Linked DNA regions of Callithrix jacchus. The protein of the gene in region 3 purifies or fractionates together with the protein of the main gene of each other region. This does not show direct contact. Links are inferred from orthologs where the notes say so. Each region holds a gene or a part of one and is shown on either strand. Other genes may lie near its edges. The genes, in order: CD72, CD22, PTPN6 and RPL35A.

The links.
Region 1: the proteins of PTPN6 (region 3) and CD72 purify together in Homo sapiens (affinity purification with western blotting; 3 studies listed by BioGRID). This does not show direct contact. The link is inferred for Callithrix jacchus from reciprocal best matches to the Homo sapiens genes PTPN6 and CD72.
Region 2: the proteins of PTPN6 (region 3) and CD22 purify together in Homo sapiens (affinity purification with western blotting; 5 studies listed by BioGRID and IntAct, with this or other methods). This does not show direct contact. The link is inferred for Callithrix jacchus from reciprocal best matches to the Homo sapiens genes PTPN6 and CD22.
Region 4: the proteins of PTPN6 (region 3) and RPL35A purify together in Homo sapiens (affinity purification with mass spectrometry; 3 studies listed by BioGRID and IntAct, with this or other methods). This does not show direct contact. The link is inferred for Callithrix jacchus from reciprocal best matches to the Homo sapiens genes PTPN6 and RPL35A.

The regions. Positions count from the first base shown.
Region 1 is NC_133502.1:142,531,080-142,535,130, reverse strand, and holds the start of CD72 (B-cell differentiation antigen CD72), read left to right. Parts: upstream 1-1,251; 5' UTR 1,252-1,361; coding exon of another isoform or gene 1,362-1,443; 5' UTR 1,444-1,452; coding exon 1,453-1,654; intron 1,655-2,361; coding exon 2,362-2,433; intron 2,434-2,936; coding exon 2,937-3,026; intron 3,027-3,375; coding exon 3,376-3,711; intron 3,712-4,051. UniProt on the Homo sapiens protein: Co-receptor of B cell receptor (BCR) that plays both positive and negative roles on B-cell functions. Recognizes the Sm/ribonucleoprotein (RNP) self-antigen ligand, and coligation of CD72 and BCR inhibits BCR signaling.
Region 2 is NC_133523.1:31,607,787-31,611,345, reverse strand, and holds part of CD22 (B-cell receptor CD22), read right to left. Parts: intron 2,660-3,559; coding exon 2,354-2,659; intron 954-2,353; coding exon 687-953; intron 539-686; coding exon 275-538; intron 1-274. UniProt on the Homo sapiens protein: Most highly expressed siglec (sialic acid-binding immunoglobulin-like lectin) on B-cells that plays a role in various aspects of B-cell biology including differentiation, antigen presentation, and trafficking to bone marrow.
Region 3 is NC_133510.1:21,210,768-21,214,974, reverse strand, and holds the start of PTPN6 (tyrosine-protein phosphatase non-receptor type 6), read right to left. Parts: upstream 2,801-4,207; 5' UTR 2,641-2,800; coding exon 2,627-2,640; intron 1-2,626. Other genes in the region: C9H12orf57 (protein C10), read right to left, coding at 3,698-3,849. UniProt on the Homo sapiens protein: Tyrosine phosphatase enzyme that plays important roles in controlling immune signaling pathways and fundamental physiological processes such as hematopoiesis.
Region 4 is NC_133518.1:81,470,853-81,475,142, reverse strand, and holds the start of RPL35A (large ribosomal subunit protein eL33), read right to left. Parts: upstream 2,816-4,290; 5' UTR 2,703-2,815; intron 2,111-2,702; 5' UTR 2,079-2,110; coding exon 2,068-2,078; intron 1,885-2,067; coding exon 1,732-1,884; intron 1-1,731. Other genes in the region: DRC9 (dynein regulatory complex protein 9), read left to right, coding at 3,103-3,119.

The DNA.
Region 1 (4,051 bases), on a different chromosome or scaffold from region 3:
GCCACCAAAGTGCTTGTGTTACAGGCATGAGCCACCGCGCCCAGGCTACAGATACATTTTTGAGGTGACAGCCTCGTCTCAGTGGCCACTTCCTCTAGGGCTGGCTGGGCGGAGCTATTGGCAGAACTCTAGGGTCCCTGGCAGCGTCTCACCACACACCACCAATCATCCGAGCTGTTGGCATGCAATGAGGACCTTTACCCCCTTCCTTTTTCCTCCCCACAGCTGCAGGAGGGGGTTCTTCGGAGCGGATGCCACACTGCTTGGGCGAGTTCTTCCCACCCCCACACTATGTCTTGTTCCAGTTCCTATCCCTGATGTAGGCTGTTTTGGGGTTCTTATTAGGGGTCACATCCTGGTAAAAGAACATTAGGGAGTACCTTTGGACACCCCTGTTCAGCAGCCTCTTCTCCCCTTCTCTGGTTCCCTCTCTCCTCCATCAGCTAGGCCCCTATCACCTATGAGGGCCTCTCAGTCCCTGGGTCCTCTGCCTCAAATGCCCCTTTTTTCCTCAGGGACAGTGTTGGGACTTTTTAAAGGAAGAACTTTACTAGGAAAGTAGGAGGAAAACCAAAACCAAACCAAGAAAATGTCAAAACCTCTGCTGGTCCAGAGTCTGCGCTCGGCCTCTGGCTCTGCTCTGCTCCTCTGCCTTGCCTTTGCCTAGGAAGCTGCAGCCCTTCTTAAACCCTCTGCAACTCCCTTGCTCACCTGCTCCCTGGCTCCCCATGAGGGTGCCTGGGGGGAAGTGCTGCCACACACCTTTCCAGAGGTGCTGCAGTCGTGGCTGTTCCTCGCCTTGGCCTGTTCCTAAACCCACAGTTACTAGAAACCCCAGGATGATGAGTGACAGATGCAAACCAGGAGCCCCCAGTCTGATGGGGAGAATGGAGCCTCACCCTGGAGCTGGGGAGATCATCTGGATCAGTGCAGCTCCAGTTACACATCATAAGCCCCAGTGGACAAGGCAGCCGGGAGGAGGGTGGGGCAGAAAAGGGCAGATAACCAGGAGGACCAGTTTTGGGGCCCAGCATGGCCCACATGGGTCTAAGATGCATGGAGAAGCAGCACAGGCAGGACATGGGGACAGGCCCAGCCCCTACCCATGTGCTTTGGACCTCAGTGTCCCCTCTGTGGCCCCTCTGGCCCTGGCCCAGGGATTCCTTCTGCTTCATTGAGCCCATCTGTTTGAGACTTGCTCACATCTTCCTCTTTTGTGACTGGAAATCATAGGGCTAACTGCTTAGCGGTACAGTCACAGAGGTAACACAAAGCCTAGGTGTAAAGGGACAGAGAGGAGAGGGGCAAGGGAGGACGGTGGATGACAGGGAAGACGGGTGGGGGCAGAGCTGCTCGGGACCATGGCTGAGGCCATCACCTATGCGGATCTGAGGTTCGTGAAGGCTCCCCTGAAGAAGAGCAACTCCAGCCGGTTAGGACAGGGTAAGGGGGATGAGGGCTCCCCTTGATCCTGCATCCCCACTCCCTGCCCCACAGACCCCATTCCTGACTCCCACATCATTGGTCTCTATTCTCTTGTCTCCAGAACCAGGGGCTGATGAGGATGGGGAACTCACCTATGAGAATGTTCAAGTGCCCTCAGTCCCAGGGGTGCCCTTGAGCTTGGCTTCTTCTGGACTAGGGGACAAAGCAGGTCTGGAGATCCTGGGGGATGTATGTTTGTTGCAGGGGATGTGTTTGTTGAGGGGCTGTGTCTTGAGTTGGGGAGTCCACAATGTTGTTGTTGAGACAGGGTCTTGCTCTGTCACTCAGGCTGGAGTACAGTGGTGTGATCATGGCTCACTGCGGCCTCGATATCCTGGGCTCAATTGATCCTCTGCCCTAGCCTCCCAAAGTGTTGGGATTGCAGGTCCATAGTATTCTTGAGAGCTCAATACCCTGGGGGAAAGGAGGAGGCCGGTTGGTAGGAAAGAGAAGAATAGGAACAGGATAAATGGGAGCCAGGAGAGGAAGAAAGATTCCTTCAGCAAGGTGGAGACCCCAGGGCAGCCCTGGGGAGGGATGAGTTCTAATGGGAAATGGGGAGCCATGGGAGGGAAAAGAGGGAATGGGAGAGGTATGAGAGCAATGGGGGAGAGGGATTGGAGCTGAAAATAAGGGGCCACTGAGGAAACAATAAAGGGAGAACTAGGAGAGATGAGGGAGTCCCGGGACTGTGAAACCCAGGAGGGAGCCGAGAGAGCCCCGGGCAGACCAGGAACTCAGGAGAGTGACGGAGTGTCCCAGAGCAACTCTAGCGGGCTGGAGTTTCCCAGTGGCGAGGACGAAAAGCGGGTGCGCAGGAGGAAAAGGAGCAATACTCGAGGCGTCCTGTCTCACACTGGATGCTCCCCTCGACAGCGGTCAAGTCCGAGCAGCCAACAGCTTCCTGGAGTGCCGTGACGTCATTGGCGGTCGGGCGGATTCTCCCCTGTGAGTGTGTGTGCTGGGCGGCCTCGGGGACTATGGATGGCTCTGGGCCCCGCGGGGTGCAGCTCTTGCCGGGTTGAACCCTTCCAGGGCAGAACTGCGCCCCAGCAGAACCCCGCCCTGGCTGAACCCCTCCCTGGCTGCCTTGCGCCATTTACCTCCATCCCAGTGCGCCAGAATCCGACGTGCACCGCCGCCCCCTTGGATGGTCCCAATTCACCTACCTCCCCACCCTTCTCCTCTCTCCCTCTCTCCATCTGATATTTCCTTCCCCTTCTCCCAGGTAATGTCCCCGAATCCTTACCAGCTCTGATTCTGCAACACCTTCTCCCCTACATGCGAAACTCCCTGCTACCCAACAGAAACCACCATGCTTGCCCCCTCAGCTCTGCACCGCCCTCCTCTAGGGATGCCTTCCCCAGGAATCTCCCCTACGCACCCATCCACTAGTCTCTACTTTCTTTCCCGGGGCTGACTGCCCGCATCCATCCCACTGTCCCCCTAAGGCCGCACAGCCTGCCTGCCATACCTCCTGCTTGGCCTGCTCCTCACCTGCCTGCTGTTAGGAGTGGCTGCCATCTGCCTGGGAGTGCGCTGTGAGTAAGGCTGTCCCCACACCGTCCCCACTTCCCACTTACACCGAAGGACTTTCATCCCGACTCCCTCCCCAAAGCTGACCCACAAACCAAAGCTGACCCCCAAACCAGGGCTCATCATCACTACCACCACATGCTTAGCTTTAAGTTTGGTTTCCAGCCAGGTCTGTTGTCTTCCTGAATCGTCCTCACCTACTCCAGTACCTCCTTAAGTTTTAGGCAGTCAAATCTCGTATTTCAGCCTGTAATGTAAAAAGTTGCAAGAAGCAGAAAAAGGGCTGATGCTGCAGTCTCAGGGCACTAGGGCAGGGCTGGAGAAGACGTCCTCCAAATCTCTGTGGCCAAACAGATCTGCAGGTGTCTCAGCAGCTCCAGCAGATGAACAGGGTTCTGGAAGCCACTAACAGCAGCCTGAGGCAGCAGCTCCACCTTAAGATAACTCAGCTGGAACAGAGGGCAGAGGATCTGCAGGGGTCCAGGAGAGATCTGGTACAGAGTCAGGAAGCACTACAGGAAGAACAGAGGGCCCATCAGGAGGCCCAAGGGCAGCTCCAGGCCTGCCAGGCAGACAAAGAGAAGACGAAGGAGACCTTGCGAAGTGAGGAGGAGCAGAGGAGGGCCTTGGAGCAGAAGCTGAGCAACATGGAGAACAGACTGAAGCCCTTCTTCACATGCCACTCATCAGGTATCCGCTCTGGGGAGAGGAGAGATGGGAGGGATGGATTGGAGCGAGGAGATACTAGTGGCAGGGGTCTGTCTATCACAGTGGGCTGTGAGCTGTTCAGGAAAGGGACAGTGAACCAGAGTGGTGGCTGACATAAGCTGTCCAGCCTTGGCCAACAGAGAGAAGGACCAAGCTGCATACTGGATTTAGGGGGACCCACCCAGTTCCAAGGCATTCTGTGGGAGAGAGGAGGATGGCACCAGCAGTCCAAATCACAGTGTCCAAGGTTTCATTTGGCTGACATCAGTGACAAGGATCTGGGAACACTAGACTTGGCTGTTTGTACATCTTTCTAAAGACA
Region 2 (3,559 bases), on a different chromosome or scaffold from region 3:
AGCTGGGATTGCAGGTGTGAGCCACCATGCCTGGCCTCATTCATTCAATAAGCATCTACTGAGTACCTTCCGTGAGCCAGGCCCTATGCTAGGAGCTGGGAACGCAGCTGTGAATAGCAACAAAGCCCCTACCCTGAGAAGCTGACATGTCAGGAGACCCTGGCTGCTCCTTGCTCTTGACTCTAGGACCCGGGAATGCCCTGCGCCCCATCTGCGTTCCCCCTCCCTGTGTCCATCGTCTCTCCCTAGAACCAGAGGCTGCATGGCTACTCACACTGGACATCCAGCTCAGCTCCCGGGCCCCTCTGTCCAGTACCAAGAAGGTTTTCTGCCACGCAGGAATAAGTCCCGGTGTGCCAGGGGAGGGCCTTAGGGATGCGGAATGTCCCCTCTGTCCTTCCCTGCACTTCTTTCCCGTTGTGGTACCATGTGTAATTTGTTGGAGGAGGATTGGCCTGTGATGCGCAAAGAAACTTGACTTCATTTCCCTCCACAGCCGGTGACGGGGAGATCTGAACGCTGGAAGGTTCTGGGGCATCTGGAAGACGGGGCAGAGGCGAATGGGAAGGTGAGGAGAGCACCCCCTCAACCTGAGCACATGGCCCCAAGAACCCCTGAGTCTCCCCTCTCCGGGTCCTCCCCTGCCAACTCCCTGCCTGGCCCACCCCCGGCTCCAAGGGCCTCACACTTCACTTGTAGAACCACTGGGCCTGACATTCCTGTGCCCACGTCATTGGAGGCCTGACAGCAGTACGTCCCACTCTGGTGCTTGGTCACTTCCGGCAGCTGTAGCGTGAGTGTGTTCTGTCCCTCCAGCAGGGCCCCATCCTTGTGCCAGGATACAGTCCTGTAGTCCGGGTTGCTGCTGCTGACCTCGCAGGTCATGGTCACAGAGTCCCCCTCCCTTACCGTGGGTTCACTGGGAGTGACATTGATCTTCAATTGCGGGACGTCTGGAGGAGCAAAGGGGCAGTCGGGAGGGGGTGGGGAATTCTCAGAGGGCAGAATGTGGGGAAAGGACTTTTATTCTGACCAAGCGGGGACCCAGGTCACAGCCTGGTCACGGCCTCCTAACTTGGCTTTCAGCTTCCCCCTCCCACTTCCTCTGCCTGCTGGTCTCCACCAGCAGCATGCAGGGTTCCTCACACCATCCACCAGACCTCGCCAATCCTGCGGGAAGCCACAAGTGGGTTCCACGCGTTGCACAGAATCCCAGACCCTCACTGCAGCCCTTGGGATCCGGAGTCCTGCTCCATCTCCTGCCTCCTGTCCTGACATGTGGCCCTCAGCCTCTGAGATCCTCCCACTCCCAGCTCCTGCCTCAAGCCTTTGAACATGCTCTTCTCTTCCCCTGAAATCCTCCTCTCTCAAATATTCGCTGGCCTCAGCCCCTCCCTCTGTTCCAATCAGCTGAAGTGCTCACCTTCTTAAAGAGATCTCTCTCTATCACTCCCCTCTCCCAGCCTTATTTTTTCCTAATACACAATCTACCTACAATAATGTTGTATATTTCTTTGTTAACATTGCTTTGTTCCATATCCTAATGTCTTGGCTCGTGCTCTGTATTTCTTTGTTAATCCATTTGTTGTCTGTCTCTTTCACTGCAGTGCTGGCTCCGTGTGGGGCAAGAGCTTTGCTCACTGCTGCACCCTGCCCCCTGCCCTGTGCCCCCCCCCTCAGCTGGCAGCCCTAATAAGGCCTGGAACCTAGTAGGTTTGTGATACATATTTATTGAATGAATGAGGCACAAAATAAAAAATCCCCCCCAAGAGGGAAACAAAGAGACCTAATCAGATAATCCCCAAATCATGTCGCTGCTTGAGGATGGACCGTTTTTTTTTTTTTTTGAGATGGAGTCTGGCTCTGTTGCCCAGGCTGGAGTGCAGTGAGTGGCAAGGTCTCGGGTCACGGCAACCTCTGCCTCCTGGGTTCAGGTGATTCTCCTGCCTCAGCCTCCCGAGTAGCTGAGACTACAGGCACGCGCCACCACGCCTTGCTAATTTTTTGCATTTTTAGTAGAGATGGGGTTTCACCATGTTAGCCAGGATGGTCTCCATCTCCTGACCTCATGATCCACCTGCCTCTGCCTTCCAAAGTGCTGGGATTACAGGTATGAGCCACCATGCCTGGCCAAGGATGGACTATTTTATTACGTTAGGCTAAATTGAATCAATTTCCCAAAACCCCAGGACTGACAAGGCGGGTGGTGCCAGAGGGAGGTCAGTGTGACCGGGGCGCGAGGACACCACTGTCTGTGCAGGCTTCCCCGTGTCCTGGGTGCGTGCTACCTGAGGGGCTGGGGAGAAGGTGACAAAGACCCTGCCCTTCCCATAGGAGTGTTGGGGAGACTCACGCTTCACATTCAGTTGCACTGTGTCTTTGGAGAGGACCTTCCCTTTCGCATCGTGGAGCTGGCAGGTCACGTTCTTCCCGTGGTGACTCCACTGTGTCCTGAGCTTGAGCTCGCTCCGGGTGAAGACAGAGTCAGGGACCAAGGAGGTCAGGGTAACAACAGACTGTGTCATTGAATCCCCCTCCAGGAACCACTGCAATCGGATCTGATACCCATAGCAGGAGAAATTCAGCAAGCAGGTCAGAGTGATTTCCTGGGATTCTTGAATTTCTGGAGGGAGCTGGATATGAGGTGGAAAGGGCTTTTCTGCAAAAGAACAGAGACCGTGCTGGAGCCTGGGAGACTAGATGTCTTGTCCCAGATCACCCCTCAGGAACCCCTTGCCACTTCATTCCACCTCTCTCCAGTCCTGCTGTTTTTTTGGGGGGGGAGGGATGGAACCTCCCTCTGTCACCCAGGCTGGAGTGCAGTGGTGCGATCTCAGCTTGCTGCAACCTCCGCCTCCCCAATTCTAGTGGTCCCTCTGCCTCAGCCTCCCAAGTAGCTGGGATTACAGGCACCCACCACCATGCCCAACTAATTTTTTGTATTTTTAGTAGAGACAGGATTTCACCATGTTGGCCAGGCTGATCTTGAACTCCTGACCTCAAGTGATCCTCCTGCCTTGGCCTCCCAAAGTCCTGGGATTACAGGTGTAAGCCACCACGCCGGGCCTGTTTTTTTTTTTTCTTTAGAGACAGGGTCTTGCTCTGTCACCCAGGCTGGAGTACAGTGGCACAATCCTAGCTTACTGCAGCCTCGACCTCCTGGGCTCAAGCAATCCTCTTATCTCAGTCCCCTGAGTAACTGGGACTACAGGCATGTACCACCACATCTAGCTAGATTTTAAATTTTTTTGTAGAGATAGGGTCTTGCCATGTTACCCAGGCTGGTCTCAAACTCCTGGGCTCAAGTGATCCTCCGACCTCAGCCTCCCAAAGTGCTGGGGTTACAGGCAGGAACTACTGCACCCAGCCCAGTCCTGCTTTTCTCCACTTTGAATCGCTTTTGCTCACTTGAAATAGTCTCTGAAAGGCCTTGACCACACTAAACGTCCTTGGGAATTGTAATCTATGCTTCTTTCATTCTCATTGACGGATGTGCGCTTTCTGAACGATGCAAGGTTGTACTCCCACCACCTCTAAGTGTATTTTACCAGTTTAGTTC
Region 3 (4,207 bases):
CAAGGCAAAGAGGTGGCATGCACAGAGTTCATGTGCGCAGTGCCTGGCTGTGAGCAGAGCTATGTGGCTGGAGCAAAGTTGCTCTGAGAGGTTGGGACCCTGCTGCAGAGGGTCATTCAAGGCCAGGCTGAGAAACTGAGGATGGAATCTGCACAAGGGGAGGCCTGGCCAAGCTACCTGGGAGGAAAATGGCCGTGGAAGGGATTCAGGACTAGAAGACTCAGTAGGAACCCCGTCGGTGGGGCAGACAGTGATGAGGTGAGCACTGGGGCAGGAGCAGAGATGAGTGTGAGAAGCAAGAATCAGTAGGGCTGGGGAGCCACACACCCACAAACTCGCCAGTACTCTGTAAGCAGGTTGTCACTTTTTCTTTTTCTTTTTTTTCTTTTGAGACAGTCTCGCTCTGTCACCAGGCTGGAGTGCAGTGGTGCAATCTTGGCTCACCAAAACCTCTGCCTCCCTGGTTCAAGCAATTCTCCTGCCTCAGCCTCCAGAGTAGCTGGGACTACAGGCACGTGCCACCACGCCCAGCTAATTTTTTGTATTTTTAGTAGAGACGGGGTTTCACCATGTTGACCAGGATGGTCTCGATCTCTTGACCTAGTGATCCACCTGCCTCGGCCTCCCAAAGTGCTGGAATTACAGGCTTGAGCCACTGCGCCTGGCCCCTCCCTCCCTCCCTTCCTTTCTTCCCTTCTTCCTTCCTTCTTTTCTTTTCTTTCTTTTTCTTTCTTTCTTCTTTTTTCCTTTCTTTTTCCTTTCTCTCCATTCTCTCTCTCTTTTTTTGAGACAGAATTTTGCTCTGTCATCCAGGCTGGAGTGCAGTGTCACAATCACAGCTCACTTCAGCCTTGACCTCCTGGGCTCCGGTGATCCTCCTGCCTCACCCTCCCAAGGAGCTGAGACCACAGGTGTGTGCCACCATGCCCAGCTATTTATTATTAGTAGTAGCAGTAGTAATGAGGTCTCCCTGTGCTTCCCAGAGTGCTCTTAAACTCCTGAGCTCAAGTGATCCTCCCACCTCCCAAACTGCTATGTTGCCCAGGCTGGTTTCAAACTCCTGAGCTCCAACGATCCTCCCACCTCAGCCTCCCAAATTGGGATCACATGTGTGTGCTACCTCGGCCGGCCAGGTTTTCACTTTCACCATCCCAGGTCCAACAGAGTCTAACCTGCCCTGGCCCTGCCTCCGCTCCTCTAGGGTCCTCTGTCACTGCATCACAGGCAGACTGTCCTTTTTTTGTTTGTTCCCACGTTAGAGCTTTGTGCGCTCCATCTCCTCTGCCCAGGGATGCTTGACTCTTTTTTTTTTTTAATAAAGACGGGGTTTCACCATGTTGGTCAGGCTGGTCTTGAACTCCCGACCTCAGGTGATCCGCTTGCCCTGGCCTCCAAAGTGCTTGGATTACAGGCGTGAGCCACCACACCCGGCCTAAGGATGCTTGACTCTTGATCACCACATCATTCTTTTCTTTTTTATCTTCTTCCTTCCTTCTTTTTCTCTGTTTCCTTCCTTCCTTTCTCCCTCCCTCTCTCTCTTTCTTTCTTTCTCCACCACGCCTAACTCCTCTTCCTCCTCATCCAGGTCTCAGCTCAAATGTCACCTCCTCAGGAAGCCCTCCCTGATCCCTCCAGCTAGTAATGTCACCTGCACACCCAGTCACTTGCTAGCACATGAAGCTGGTTCATTTTCTTTTTTCGAGACAGGGTCTCACTCTGTTGCCCAGGCTGGTGTGCAGTGGTGCAATCACCACTCCCTGTGGCCTTGACCTCCTGGGCTCAAGCCTCACACCTCAGCCTCTCCATAGCTGGAACCACAGATGTGTGCCACCATACCCAGCTTATTTTTTGTATAGACAGGGTCTCACTATATTGGCCAGGCTGGTCTCAAATTCCTGGGCTCAAGCAATCCTCTCGCTTCAGCCTCCCAAAGTGCTGGGATCACAGGTGTGGACCACCATGCCCAGCCGAGGCTGTTTCATTTTCTGCATAACACTTTTGAGAATCTGCAATGATCCAATTTATTGGGTTGTTTGTTCAGTCTGTGACCTCCCATGGGAACATAAGCTCCGTGAAAGCAGGGACCATGTCTGTCTTGTTCACTCCAGTATTACCAGCATCTTAAACAGCACCCTGTGTGCAATAGATGCTCAGCACGTATCTGATGAATGAATGATGCAAGGGAAAGGGAAGTGAAAGGAACCGGAAAGAAGATGGGACCAAAGTCAGATAATGGGAAGAGCAGGGAAGTTGGCTGGGCAGGAGAGGCCTTCACGGGTGGCCTCTAACTGCTGCTATGTTTGAGGTGATGTGAACTACCCAAGGGACAGGTCCCAAGCAGGAGGCAGAAGCAGGAGCCCAGAGGCTGGAGGTAGAAATGCAATGGAGAGAAGAGATATACACTTGTCAGGGGAAAATGTTAAAGAGGGGCCAGAGGGGCATGAATGAGCCCGGGGGTCCTCACACCTTGCGGGAAGGGAAGGTTCATAGGGACAGGAAGCAGGCGCAGGGCAGGGCAGCGGCAGATCGCACTCAGGCTCACACACATGTTGCAGTGAGCATGAACAAGGCCTCCCTCCCTCCAAAACTAACAGGAGACTGGGACCCAGGTGGTGCACGAACTTACCCACGGGACAGCATCTCTCTGGAGGGATGAAGTCACGGCAGAGGGCCTCAGGGGGCGGGGCTGAGCCAGTGGCACAGCTGTGCACCGTGGCCCAAGCCAGGTGAGGACGAACCTCTCAGAAATCAGTCACTTCCTCCTCAATCCAGCCTGCCAGGCCAATGGCCCCGCAGGGACAAACCCTGGACTAATAGTCTCCAGGAAAAGGACAGGTGGGGCGGGGCTGGCCTGAGACCGCCCACAGCAGCCAGCTTCCCTGCAGCCCCAGTGCGGGAGTCCAGCAGGCCCTCCCGCCGGTCCAGGGCTGCCTTCCCTCGGGAGAGGAGGAGCCACCTGGAGCTCCACCTGGAGCTCAAGCTGACAGAGCGGCGGGAGGTTGGGTAGGGGCAAAGACCAGGAAGTAACCCTGGCTGAGGGAAGAGCAACCAATGGGGGAAATCTCTCAGTAGGCGCAAACCAAAGGGCCTAAGGAAAAGCCCTAACAGCCCAATTCCTCAGAGAAGGAGGTGCGCCCTGTGCACGCCCACCCACCCAGGGCGCTGAGGAGCCCAGTCCAACCTCTTACCCTGCCCTGGGGAAAGGGGAGGAGCCTCAGCCCTCACTGGAGCAGGGTTAGGCCCAGCCAGGAGTATAGGAAAGAGCTATTCAGGAGGATGCGGCCTGGAAAGGAAGAGAGAATCTGGGGAGGAGAGAGGGAGGTTGTCAGGTCCACAAAGACTGACACGGGGCACGGTGGCTCACACCTGTAACCCAAGGTGGGTGGATCACAAGGTCAGGAGTTCGAGACCAGCCTGGCCAAGATGTTGACACCCCGTCCCTACTAAAAATACAAAAATTAGCTGGACGCGGTGGTATGCGCCTGTAGTCCCAGCTACTCAGGAGGCTGAGGCAGGAGAATCACTTGAACCTGGGAGGCGGAGGTTGCAGTGAGCTGAGATCACGCCATTGCACTCCAGCCTGGGTGGCAGAGTGACAAGAAAACTGACAAGAAGGCTAAGTCGCAGACACATTTATTATTGACTGGAACATCAAGGCCTTTCCTCCCCTGTTAGTGGCACAAGGGAGGGCTAACTCTCAGGAAGCAGCCACGCTGCCACCAGCAGCAGGTCCATGAGGTGGCAGCGTCATGGGTGGCAGGAACAGTGCCTTCAGCTTGCCTGACAGGCTGGCAATCTCGGGATCCTGGGCTTCGTAGGATTTGACCAAGCGGGCAAACTTGAGGACACCTGCAAGAGGGAGTGGAGGGTCAATGCTTCTCCTAAGGACCAGCGTGCCTAAGACAGGTGGAGGGGGTGGTAGTCTGAGCTTGAGCTGTTCCCCCACTGGCAGGGCAGCTGTTGGCAGAACAGCACATGCAGGACTCTGCCCCATGCAGTTTGGATCAACTTCTTATTCTACGTTGGGCACAACTGGATGGGGTGCATGAATGAAGATGTCCCAAAGCAGTGCGCTTCTTGCCCTCAAGTGAACCATTTTAGCAGTTTAGTCACAAGAACCCCAAGTGTGAACACCCACAAGACCCCAGGTCTGTAGCTGGAATGCAGGAGTGCTATGGGGCAGCAGAGCTGCCTGTCAACACCTTTG
Region 4 (4,290 bases), on a different chromosome or scaffold from region 3:
TGACTTTATATATATTTCCTTTAATTAGACAACAGTTGTCTTTCACCCAGCCTGCAGTGCAGTAACCCAATCATCGGTCACTGCAGACTCCATCTCATGACATCAAGCAATCCTCCCACCTATGCCTCCCAAACACTGGGATTACAGGTGTGAGCTACTGCACCTGGCCCCCGACTTAAATTTTAAGCCACTGACTTAAAATGTTAAAGGAACACTTTGCCTGCAGATGAAAAGGTGGGGCAATGATGAAAACACTTTCCCAGAGATTTTAATTGGCCTGGAATGGGTTAAGAAAATAGGATTGGCTGAGCACTGTGGTTCAGGCCTGTAATCCCAGCACTTGGGAGGCCAAGGCGGGCAGATTACAGGGTCAGGGGTTCTAGAGCAGCCTAGCCAACATGACACAACCCCATCTCTATTAAAAAGACAGAAGTTAGCCTGGCATGGTAGCACACGCCTGTAATCCCAGCTACTGGGGAGGCTTAGGTCACAGTGAGCCAAGATCACTCCAGTCTGGGTGACAGAGCAAGATGTCCTCTCAACAAAAAGAACTAATGTCTACAGTATCAATACCTTTAGGCATGCATAAAAGCCGCAATTTGGGCCTGGTGCACTGACTCACACCCGTAATCCCAGCACTTTGGGAGGCAGAGCCGGGTGGCTCACTTGAGGTCAGGAGTTCAAGACCAGCCTGACCAACACTGTGAAACCCTGTTTCTACTAAAAATACAGAGTTAACCCCAACTACTTGGGAGGCTGAGGCAGGAAAATCGCTTGAACCTGGGAGGTGGAGATTGCAGTGCATTGAGATTGTGCCACTGCACTCCAGCATGGACAAGAGTGAAACTATGTCTCAAAAAAAAGAAAAGAAAAAAAAAATCTTAATTTTAAGGCATCAACAAAATGCATTACACACGAAAAGCGTTCTAAACCACCTTAAATTCTGGCCAAAGGAGCTGAGAAGAAAATTAAAAACCTTTAAATGATCACAATGTAATAAGAAATTCGCTCCTTTATTAAGTGCCAAAAGTTCCTAAATCCAACACCGCCCTCAAAAAGTAATGTCCTTCTAAAACTCCCCATTAAGTTCAATGACGCAAAATAGGCACCACAGCAACACCAATCCAGCCTGGCCAACATGGGAAAACCTAGTCTCTAATAAAAAATACAAAAATTAGCAGGGTGTGGTAGTGAACCCCTTGAAGCCCAGCTACTCAGAAGGCTGAGGCTGGAGAACTGCTTGACACTTGACTCAGGAGGCGGAGGTTGCCATGGGACAAGATCGCGCCACCTCACTTCGACCTGGGCAACAGAGCAAGTCTCTTGTCAAAAACAAAAAAACCAATACCAAATACTTCAGCCACCTCTTTTGTTTATTCTTCCAATAGGAAAATGAAGCCAGGCGCAGTGGCTCACGCCTGTAATCCTAGCACTTTAATAAGAGGCCAAGGCGGGTGTATCACCTGAGGTCAGGAGTTTGAGAGCAGCCTCGCCAACAAGACAACCAACCCCCTCACGCCCCCACCCCCAACTAAAAATACAAAAACTAGCTGGGCGGGTGCCTGCAATCTCAGCTACAAGGGAAGCTGAGGCAAAACTGCTTGAATCGGAGGCGAAGGTTGCAGTGAGGGAGATAGCTCACTGGACTCCAGCCTGGGCAACAGAGCAAGAGTCCATTATTTAAAAAAAAGAAAAAGAGACAGATCTCAAATTAAAACCCAATAAACTTACTTCTTTGCTTTGTATACATAAGCACATCTCTTGCCCAAATAGAATTCTGTTTCATCTCGGGCATAAACACCTTCGATTTTAAGAAGAGCTGTGTGCTCCCTTTGGTTCCGGAGACCCCGCTTATAGCCGGCAAAAATAGCCTTGGACCACAGCCTAAGAAACAAAAGATACACAACATGAAACGCAATCTTCAACGAACCAGTTAGACCTGTAATAACCCCCACCCAAAAGTTACCTAGAGCGAACATCTAATTTTTTTCTTACCAATTTTAAGCTCTCATTTACGTTCACGTGTAACACACAAAAACAAACAGCAACTATATTTAAAACGCGTACCTTCCAGACATAGCTCCTTCTGTAAGTCCTGTTCCCAGCAGGCCTTAAAACAAAAGATTCTGTTTAAAGCAAGCCACACAAATGTCCCGCCCCGTCCCCTCTCATTTAAGCCTCTAAGGCAAATTCCTTTTGAATCGGAATTTCACGTAAGAGTGCGGGGAAAATATTACGCCAGAACATCCGTATGAAACGCGGGGTCCGGCTAGACATTCGAACCTCAGAGAAGTTAGTATCTAAGCAAACTTAAGAATGAGACAAAACTAAGGGACAAGAGGCACTAAAATAACTCTTAGAAAAGCCTGGGAACACTCGGGAAAAGAAATGGAGACTTAAGCAGAGAAACACATCTAAGACCTTTACACTTGGCGGGGGAGAAAAGCTGAGGAAGAGACTGTTAGCAAAGGGAGGAAACAAAAACCCTATCCTAAAGGAAGCACGGCCCCATGGACAACTGCAGACGAACAAAAATATCCATTTCACTCCGCTCGGGTCCAAGAATTTAACTTAGATAACCGGGCAGCCGTTCTCCGGGTGTGAGGGGACCAAGCACAATCAGTCCAGCATCTCCTGCATCCTGTTGTCTCTCTTCTTGAAACCCATAGAAATCAATGGCTGGCAGTGATTCCGATACGCACCGGCAACTCGCTAGGGTAGACGAACAAACTCACTCCAGTCATTTACCTCCAAATTTCAGCAGCAGGCGCTTCTCTAGCCTCCACAAGTGCCAAGATGGCGGGAAGAGAAATACGAGGCCCCGCCGCGCGGCCTTGTGGGATTAAGCACCTCTCCAATGCGCCCTCAATTTAGGCATCTTCTAAAAACGCCAGAACAGCAGCCCTCGGAAATCGTCTTCGGACTGAAATAAGTCACATTCAAGAGCACTCTTAGAATTATTTTACTTAATCCTTTCATTTTGGTAGGCTGCAAGGTAAGCCTATTAGTTGGTAACAGGGGAAGGCAAAATAGTAGCCAGCTAAATCCGCCGAAGCTGTGCGTTGCCATAGAAACAACTTAGCTTGCTCCTTGCGTCCCCGGATGCTGTCGGTGGAAAGGTGAGGCTGCCTGAGGAGAGGACGGTCCCACTGCCTAAAGGCTGATTGACTGTAAGATTGATTTGCGAACAAATCGAGGGTGCTTTTCCTTCGATTCATACAGCAATAGACAGAACGGAGACTCTAACCTAGCATGGAAGAGAAAGGCTGGGAGCAGGAAGGCAGCAGGAGCTCTTCCCTTTTTCTTTTTCTATACTTCTTTTCTCCCCTCTACTTAGTTATCTCTTCAAGAAATGAGTCTGGGCACTGTGGCTCACGCCTGTAAACCCAGCTCTTTGGGAAGCCGAGGCGAGAGGATCGCTTGAGGCCAGGAGTTCGAGACCAGCCTGGGCAGCATAGTGAGACCATCTCCCCCGCCCTCCCCTATCTCTACAAAAGAAAAAAAAAGAATTAAAAAAAGAATGAAAGGACTTAAATTCTTACCTCCATTCTTCTTTTTGGATCCAAGGTATAAGGAGGACTGCCTAGAGGAGGCTTTATCGCCTTTTTAGACTTATTTTAGCTACCTCGTGTCCGCACCTGATAGGTCCTCAGTAGATACTTGTAGAGGTGTATTCGTGGACGCCAGAGATTTACATTTCCGAATTATTACGCATTTATTTGGGTTACCCTATGGATTCATTAATTTATTTAACAAATAGTTTAATGAATGGCTACCCTATACCAAGGTTTGTGTAGGATGACCACATGGCAGTAAACAAATCTCTTCCCTCATGGAGCTTACATCCTACGAGGGGGAGCAAGACAGTGAACAAGGAAAATAGGTGGCACATTAGAAGAAGGTAGCTTCTGTGGAGAAAATTAAGCAGAGAGGCCAGTGTAAAAGGCTTTCCGCCCCTTACTTTGAGATGGGAAGTATTTAAGGGTTCTGAACAGAAGAGTGACTCGATCTGACTTCCATATTGAGAAAGTCACTGCGTTGGGACTGAAGGGAGGCAAGGGCACCAGCAGGAAGAGAATTATAGGTTACTGTAGTGAATGTGATGAGAGATGATGGTGTGGAAACACACGTGATGAGTACTGGAATTCTGATTATATTTAAATTCTGGCAGGATTTGCTGGTGGATGAGGAATGAGAGAGAGGAGTAAAGGATGGCTCCAAAGTTGCATGAAATAGATGTTTGTAAGTCACTGTTAAAATCAGATCCTGTCTTAAATATATCAGGATAGA